Sus scrofa: one gene and its partner. The protein of the gene in region 2 purifies or fractionates together with the protein of the main gene of each other region. This does not show direct contact. Links are inferred from orthologs where the notes say so. Each region holds a gene or a part of one and is shown on either strand. Other genes may lie near its edges. The genes, in order: NUP37 and NUP85.

What was found.
Region 1: the proteins of NUP85 (region 2) and NUP37 purify together in Homo sapiens (affinity purification with western blotting; 4 studies listed by BioGRID and IntAct, with this or other methods). This does not show direct contact. The link is inferred for Sus scrofa from reciprocal best matches to the Homo sapiens genes NUP85 and NUP37.

The regions. Positions count from the first base shown.
Region 1 is NC_010447.5:82,104,644-82,108,460, reverse strand, and holds part of NUP37 (nucleoporin Nup37), read right to left. Parts: intron 3,376-3,817; coding exon 3,251-3,375; intron 1-3,250. UniProt on the Homo sapiens protein: Component of the Nup107-160 subcomplex of the nuclear pore complex (NPC). The Nup107-160 subcomplex is required for the assembly of a functional NPC.
Region 2 is NC_010454.4:6,083,287-6,087,103, forward strand, and holds part of NUP85 (nuclear pore complex protein Nup85), read right to left. Parts: intron 2,847-3,817; coding exon 2,712-2,846; intron 2,609-2,711; coding exon 2,486-2,608; intron 2,276-2,485; coding exon 2,144-2,275; intron 1,894-2,143; coding exon 1,787-1,893; intron 1-1,786. UniProt on the Homo sapiens protein: Essential component of the nuclear pore complex (NPC) that seems to be required for NPC assembly and maintenance. As part of the NPC Nup107-160 subcomplex plays a role in RNA export and in tethering NUP96/Nup98 and NUP153 to the nucleus.

The DNA of each region.
Region 1 (3,817 bases), on a different chromosome or scaffold from region 2:
CTTACTATTCTGACTGGTTTAAAAAAAAAAACATTCCAGGTCTTGAGAAGGCTCCAAGAAGTGTTACTTCTAATGCTTTAGGTGGCTCTTTTCCTGGCTTCTAGCAGTTTCTTTCCAGGCTGATCAGTACTTGGCTGAAGGCTCAAGGAGATCCTCCTGTGACTCAGATCTTGAACCAACCAAGGGTGACTTCCTGTACTACCTGATATCCATGTTAAAAAACCATTACTTCTACGTTTTGTGTGTTTAATCTTTTTCAGCAGGAGGGTAAACCTAGTCCCTGTTAAGCAATGTTAGCTGGACTTGGCCAGGGGATCCAAGCCAGCCAGTTGGGTTCTCACTCCTAGAACTAGGATTCTGCCATGTGGACAGGAAGCCACAAGAAGTTAGTGTACAGGAAAGAGTGAAATGAAGCAAAGAGGAGCAAAGAAGGGTGGAAAGAGGGTTTCAGAGAGTAGGTTCTTGTCTCATTGCAGAAAGAATTCAAAGATATCACATGGAGGTCAAACAAGCAAAGTGAGAATTTACATGCTCAAGGGAAGAGTGAGCAGACTGAGATGAGTAGCTGCCCTAAGCTTCTTGGATAAGCTGGCTATGTCGGGTGTGAAAATGAATGGGCAGAATATTCATTGAAGAGAGAGGGGTTTGAGGTCATTTTTCTTGGTTTTTATCCCAGATTCACCTTCTCCCATGCTTTTACCTAGGAGTTCTATAGTTTCAGGTCTTATGTTTAGGCCTTTAAATCATTTTGAGTTAGTTTTTGTAGATGGTATAAAGGTCTGACTTCATTCTTTTGAATGTGGGCATCCATATTCAAAATTTCCCAACACCATTTATCCTTTCCCATTGTCTAGCCTTTACACCTCTGTCAAAGGTCATTTGACCATACATGTGAGGATTTGTTTCTGGGTTCTTTACTCTGTTCCACTAGTCTGTATGTTTGTCTTCAGGCCAGTATCATACTTTTTTGATTACTGAAGCTGTATTTTTTTTTTTTTTTTTTTTTTGGTCTTTTTCTAGGGCCCCACCTGCGGCACATGGAGGTTCCCAGGCTAGGGGTGTAATTAGAGCTGTAGCTGCTGGCCTATGCCAGAGCCACAGCAATGTCAGATCCGAGCAGCATCTGCGACCTACACCACAGCTCACGGCAATGCCAGATCCTTGACCCACTGAGCGAGGCCACGGATCGAACCTGCAACCTCATGGGTCCTAGGTGGATTCGTTAACCACTGAGCCACAATGGGAACTCCTGAAGCTTTATGTTTTTAAGTCAGTAAAGATGAGGGCTTTAGTTTTGTTTTTCTTTCTCAAAATTGCCCCCCCCCCATGATTTTGATAGAGACTGTACCGAATCTGTGGATTGCTTTGGGTAATTTAGACATTTTAATAAAATTAAGTCTTCCAATCCATGTACATGGGCTGTCTTTCCATTAATTTGTGTCTTCTTTCATTTTTTCCAGCAATGTTCTATAGTTCTCACTATAAAAAGCCTTTTGCTTTTCCTTTCTTGGTTATCTAGTGAATTCTAAGAGTTTATATAAAAGGCTACACTCTACATTAGTGCATAGTTTATTTTGTATTTCTGTGTATATACACAGTGCATAAGAATGTCATATCATCTATAGAAGGCTGAATAGTGGTTCCCAAAGATATGTCCAGTCCTAACCCCTAGTACCTGTTATAGCCTCTCTGGAATTAGGATTTTGCATATATAATTAAGTTAAGGATCATAAGATGACCAGACTGGATTTAGAATAGGCCTAAATCCAGTGATGAGTGTCTTTATAAGACCCAGAAAAGGAGAAACACAGGAAAAGATATGTGAAGACAGAGGCAGAGACTGAGGTGATATATCAACAAGGCAAAGGATGTAAAGGATTCCCAGCTGCCAGCAAAAACCAGGAGAGAGGCCTGGAATGGATTCTTCCTTGGAGCCTCATGAGAGACTAACCTTGCTGACATCTTGCTTTCTGATTTGTGACCTCCAGGACTGGGAGACAATAAATTTCTGTTGTTTTAAGCCACCATATTTCTACCAACTTGTTACAGCAGCCCTAGGAAACGAATATACTATCCTAAACCATATATACATACATGACCATTTCATTAAATAGCTTAAAAGATCCTGGGTATCAAATTATGCCCCCAAACCTGAAATATTTTACCAAGTAGATTTCCATTTCATTAGCCAGCTCAGCCTAGTCTCACCACGTCCTAGGACGGCACTCAAGCGGACCAGGTCTCGGTTTCCTTTTTTCATAAATGAAATTAGTTTACTTCTCATGTCCTTTCATAAATCTCAGTTCATAAATGTAAGCACTCTATCAATTATGGGTTTTTTTTTTGGTCTCTTTAGTGTTTGGTAACAAACCTTAAATAAACTGACATGCTACTGCCTTTGTGAAGAAGGCCTCAGAAAGCGTGTTAAGATTTTTCAAAAAACAAACAAACAAACAAAAAAACAAAAAACAGTCATTCTTTTCAAATTTTTTCAACAAACACTGAAGCCCAAGGATCAAAAATAGAGTTTTATGCATTGTTAAATACGAAAATGTGACCTTGGCCTATGTATGAGGCATTAAGATTGATTAATAACTCAACCAAATTAATTAATTAATCAATTAATGGCCACATCTGTGACTACACCAAAGCTCATGGCAATGCTGGATCCTTAATCCACTGAGTGGGGCTAAGGATCAAACCTGCATTCTCATGGATACTAGCCAGGTTCATTACTGCTGAGCTATAATGAGAACTCCTGTTACGGTTTGTTTTTTTTTTTTTTTTTTGGTTTGGATTTTGGCCTCATCCACTGCATGTGGAAGTTCCCAGGTCAGAGATCGAACCTGCACCACAGCAGTGACCCAAGCTGTTGCAGTGAAAGCAGAGGATCCTTAACCAGCTATGCCACAAGGGGACTACCAAATTCAGTTATTTTAAAAGAGTTGTACTTTCAATAAGTGGTAAATTCAGTGAAGAATCTATAAAGATTTCAAATGATCCATATGAATCTCAGAAAAAAGAGCTATGTAATTAGGCTTAAACACATGTTCAAGGTATCACTGTTATGGTTATATATTTAAATCTCAAATTCAGACAAACGCCTAAATTATGAAATAATAGCAAATGTTAAAGTCAAAAATACCTGGAGTTGGAGAAATGGAAGAAAAAAGTCCCTAAGATCAAAGGCTTCAGATCAGTTAACACAAAGGACATTAATAAATGCTGCATTTAATAATATTAAACTTACTTGATTACTGGAGGCAATGAATCAAGTCTAGTCTCTGGACTCCAGGCTATGCCGTCGACCCTGACTCCATGCTGAAATGTTCGTAGTGTTTTATAGTGAATTCCTTCAATGTCTGCTTCTTCCTCCTAAGCATACACAGTAAATGTTTTAATAAGTTATGAGAACAAGCAATATCAAATTCTATATTTTATTATAATGAGGAATTTATCAGGGGGCTGTAAATATTTTTTTGAGAAGTTCAAAAGCAGATTAGATATTAAGGTACAACTGGTTTACTGAACAATAAGAATAAAAACATCCAAACCTGTCTAAGCCTCAAAAAATAATTCTATAAGGTAACTAAAAACAAATAAACATGTTATACCTTATCTTAGGAGAGATTTTATTCTAATAGTAAATACATTTCACAGCAAACACAATAAAAGGGGAATGCTCTAAGGATCAGAATATTCTAGGTAAATGAATTAGCATACATGGGTTATCGAGTGACAATATAACAAATACACACTGAACATAAAGTTTTATGTACAAGGTAATTTGTCCCTTATGAGGCCTCAAAGGCATAAT
Region 2 (3,817 bases):
GCTCGGGCCTGACCGGCACAACCCAAGAGAAAGCACATGCCCACAAGACCCCAAATCCAGTCCTTCCGCCTCTAACACCCTCCGAAGAGACTTCGGCCCTGCTTCCAAACCGTGGGATGAGGTCCCGCGACGCGCTTTTCAGGGCCTCCTTCGAAATGGGCTAGGAGATGGCTTCCTGCTCAGGTAAGCCCAAGCTCCTAGATGCAGTGCCAACAGAAGCTTCAGACCCTGTCCTACTTGCCGGGGCAGAGAGGCGCCCAGACTGAGGGGCTACAAGCCGACCTTTCCTCCTTTGCGACTGGCGTTGGAGTGATGCCGTAACCTGTGGATTCACAAAAGCCACCCTCTCTGTTGACACTTCTCTAGCTTTTCCTTCTGTTGCCACTGAAAAGAACGAAGTACCTTCCCTTTTTATTATTCTTCTCCTCGTTCTTTTCAACTCTGTTTTGTTCCTTAAAAGCCGTATGTGGCTTAGGAAGGAGGCCCAGGAGGAAATAACCCACTGCCACTAACAGACAAGCGTCGGGCAAGACTGTTGCTTTAAACTATAGGCAGAGACACTGACAAAGTGAAATAATGACGTGTGTGCCTTTCTAAGTTACTGTCACTACCCGCTCCAGGCAGATGCCACCCCCACCCCCACCGCCATCAGCCAAACTCTTGAAGTTGTCTTCAGGCACCAACTAAAGTCTCTGTAAGTCTCTGAAAAGAACGCTGACACAAAACCCGTTTTCCTTTCTCCAAATCTAAGAGCATTTTCTTGAAGCCCTGGCTCTCTTTTGGCCAAAACAGGAAGAGATGGCAGCAGGTGGGGAACCCTTCCCATTGCCCTGATTTACCAAAAAAAGTAGGTTCAGTCAAGGTCAATGAGTTGATACGTGAGCAAGGCCACCTGCTGCGTTCCTAGCTTTCTTCTGGGCGTCACTGGTGCAACGCCACTCTCCAGACTGCACAAGGGAAGGTAAATTCTTTTTTTTTTTGTCTTTTTTTGCTATTTCTTGGGCCACTCCCACGGCATATGGAGGTTCCCAGGCTAGGGGTTGAATCGGAGCTGCAGCCACCGGCCTACGCCAGAGCCACAGCAACGCGGGATCCGAGCCGCGTCTGCAACCTACACCACAGCTCACGGCAACGCCAGATCCTTAACCCACTGAGCAAGGGCAGGGACCGAACCCGCAACCTCATGGTTCCTAGTCGGATTCGTTCACCACTGCGCCACGACAGGAACTCCGGGAAGGTAAATTCTGACTTATTACAACGTGCAAATTTCTGGAAAGCTCTACCTTGGATCACATTTCACACTCCTTTCCTGCCTTGCTGAAGGTTCAGTGTAATGACAAGATACCCTTTTGGGGAGCGGGCTGATGCAGAATCCCTGCTCTGAACAGACCCAATCAAGGGCCGAAGGTGTGGTACCCTGGCTCACCAGAGAGTGAGACTGTTGAGAGCTCCGTCCCTTACGGTGATTGCATGTTCGTTGGGTTCCAAGAATCCGCTTAGTGTCTGTTAATTCTAGGTTTTAAATATCAAAGGAATTTCCTGCAACGTTATGTTAAGTAAACATCCCTGAAATGGAAACTGTTACAAATACAAGAGCCGTCAAGCCTCAGGAAGGGCCCCAAGCTCTCCAGAGAGAAGCCATGACCTGCCCACATGTGGCTGCACAGGGGCAGCAGGTCTGTGGGAAGAAAGCTGAGACACCAGCAAGCAGAGGCACTGGAGGCGAGGACGGCTGCGAGGGCGGTCCCGCGCGGACCGTACCGCCGGCGGCGGCAGCAGGGCCTACCTGCACTCCTTTATCACTTGGTGGATGTCGAACTCGAAGGCTGCCAACAAGATGTTGTCCAAGGGTTCTGCGCTGCTCTCACCTCCCAGAAACAGGTCCAGGCTGGACTGTGGAAAGGGGGTGACCCATTCAATCCCCAGATGCCAGCAGAGACTCAAGGGGGCAGGCAGGGCTGCTGGGTAAGGCACCCTGGGGAAGGGTGACGGGGTCCTGCAAAAAGCGCCCAAGGAAAGCCCCTTCCTGTTCTCCAGGGGGGTTCAACTCCAAGAGGCCAAGGGGTGAAAATGACCCAGCGGGGGCGGGGCGGCACCTCAGGGTTCCTATGCCCCAGGCGCACTCCGGGGAGCGCAGGCTCACCTGGGCATAGCAGTGCAGGTCCATGGGTTTCACTGTGGGACAAGAGTACAGGAGCCGGGTCACTAGGAAATGGTACCAGTTACTCAGAAGCTCCTTTTGCTCCAACAGGGCAGCTTCGTCTCCCAGCATGATCTGAGAAGAGAGACACGACTCCTTAGCTCTGGGCGAGACTGCTACATCACCTCCTGATCTCGGCTGCAGCACCAGCTTTGAAAGCTCTCTCCTTCCAGACGCAGCTGACAGCCCTGTCCAAGGACCAAGTTCCTGCCGCTGCTGCGCTGGATGCTGCGGTCCCCAGGGAAAGCCAGCTTGGGCCCCGACCTGGACTTGCTTCCCACAGACCTTGCAAAGAGACTCGAGGTGAGGACTGGAGGCGAATGTGCCATCTTGGAGGTGCCGCTCGCACTCCTCGTGCCAGTGCTGCCACTTCAGCTCCAGCTCGGTCAACGTCTGAGTGTTACCAGGCTACGGCAAGAGACACAGAGCGAGCCCGTCAGCACACGACCCCTTATTCTCATTGCAGGACCCCATCTCCAGGACCCGGGAGAGGCCAGCCGCTCCCACATACGCTGAGAACGGGCATTGTCCTCATCAGGTCCCCCAGGACGCGGCACATGCCTGCAGAGGTGGGGCTGGCGTCGGCTTCCTTGGAGAGCATCTGCCGGGCCTCGTCCAGCCGGCCCTGCAGCACCAGGATGGTCACCTGGAGGACACCCAAGGACACACACGTTCACGGCAGGCTCAGAAGCCAGTCCCCTAAGCCCAGACTCTGGCTTTCTAGCCCTGGAGAAGCTCCCGAGGTAATCGGATTCATTGAGTCTCACAGTTTGAACCTGTACCATGCTTCTCAAACCACACATGTAACCCACTGAGGTTGTAACTTTTTAAAAATAAGCACAATAAAATAAAAAATTCCAAGTGCATCAAATAAAGTACTGGTTCATAAAACTCTGAGTTCAAATACATACATACATGCACATATACAATCAACATTATTACCACTGAGCCTCTCCAGTCAGATTCCGTATCTGTGCAGACGGCTGCCTGCTGAAATTTATTTGTAACCCCCAAGTCAATATCTGAGGTGCTTTCACCATCATTTCTGGACATGTGCCCAGAAAGGGGCAACAAATGTGAGTCACCTGATACACACGTTACCAGCTGAGGCTGAACAACTGGAGTTCCACCTTCTGGTATCAGCTCTCACACTAAATAAGTATCTTTTTTGCGATCTATTTAGCGCCGTATTTTTTACATTTTCATGCGTTTTGTTGGGCCCCCAAGCGTTGTGCTGAAGTGCCGCTCAGTGCTAAGTGCAAAGAAGGCTATAACGTGCCATGTATCATGTCAGAATATACATGTTAGATGAGCTTCATTCAGACAAGGTTTACAGGGCTGTTGGCCATGAGTTCAATGCTAATGAATCAACAAGATATATATATATATATATGTATACTTTTTTTTTTTTTTTTTTTGGTCTTTTTGCCTTTTCTAGAGCCGCTCCTACGGCCATAGAGGTTCCCAGGCTAGGGGTCTAATTGGAGCTGTAACTGCCAGCCTAAAGCACAGCCACAGCAACACAGGATCTGAGTCGTGTCTGCAACCTACACCACAATTCACGGCAACACTGGATCCTTAACCCACTGAGCAAGGCCAGGAATCGAACCTGCCACC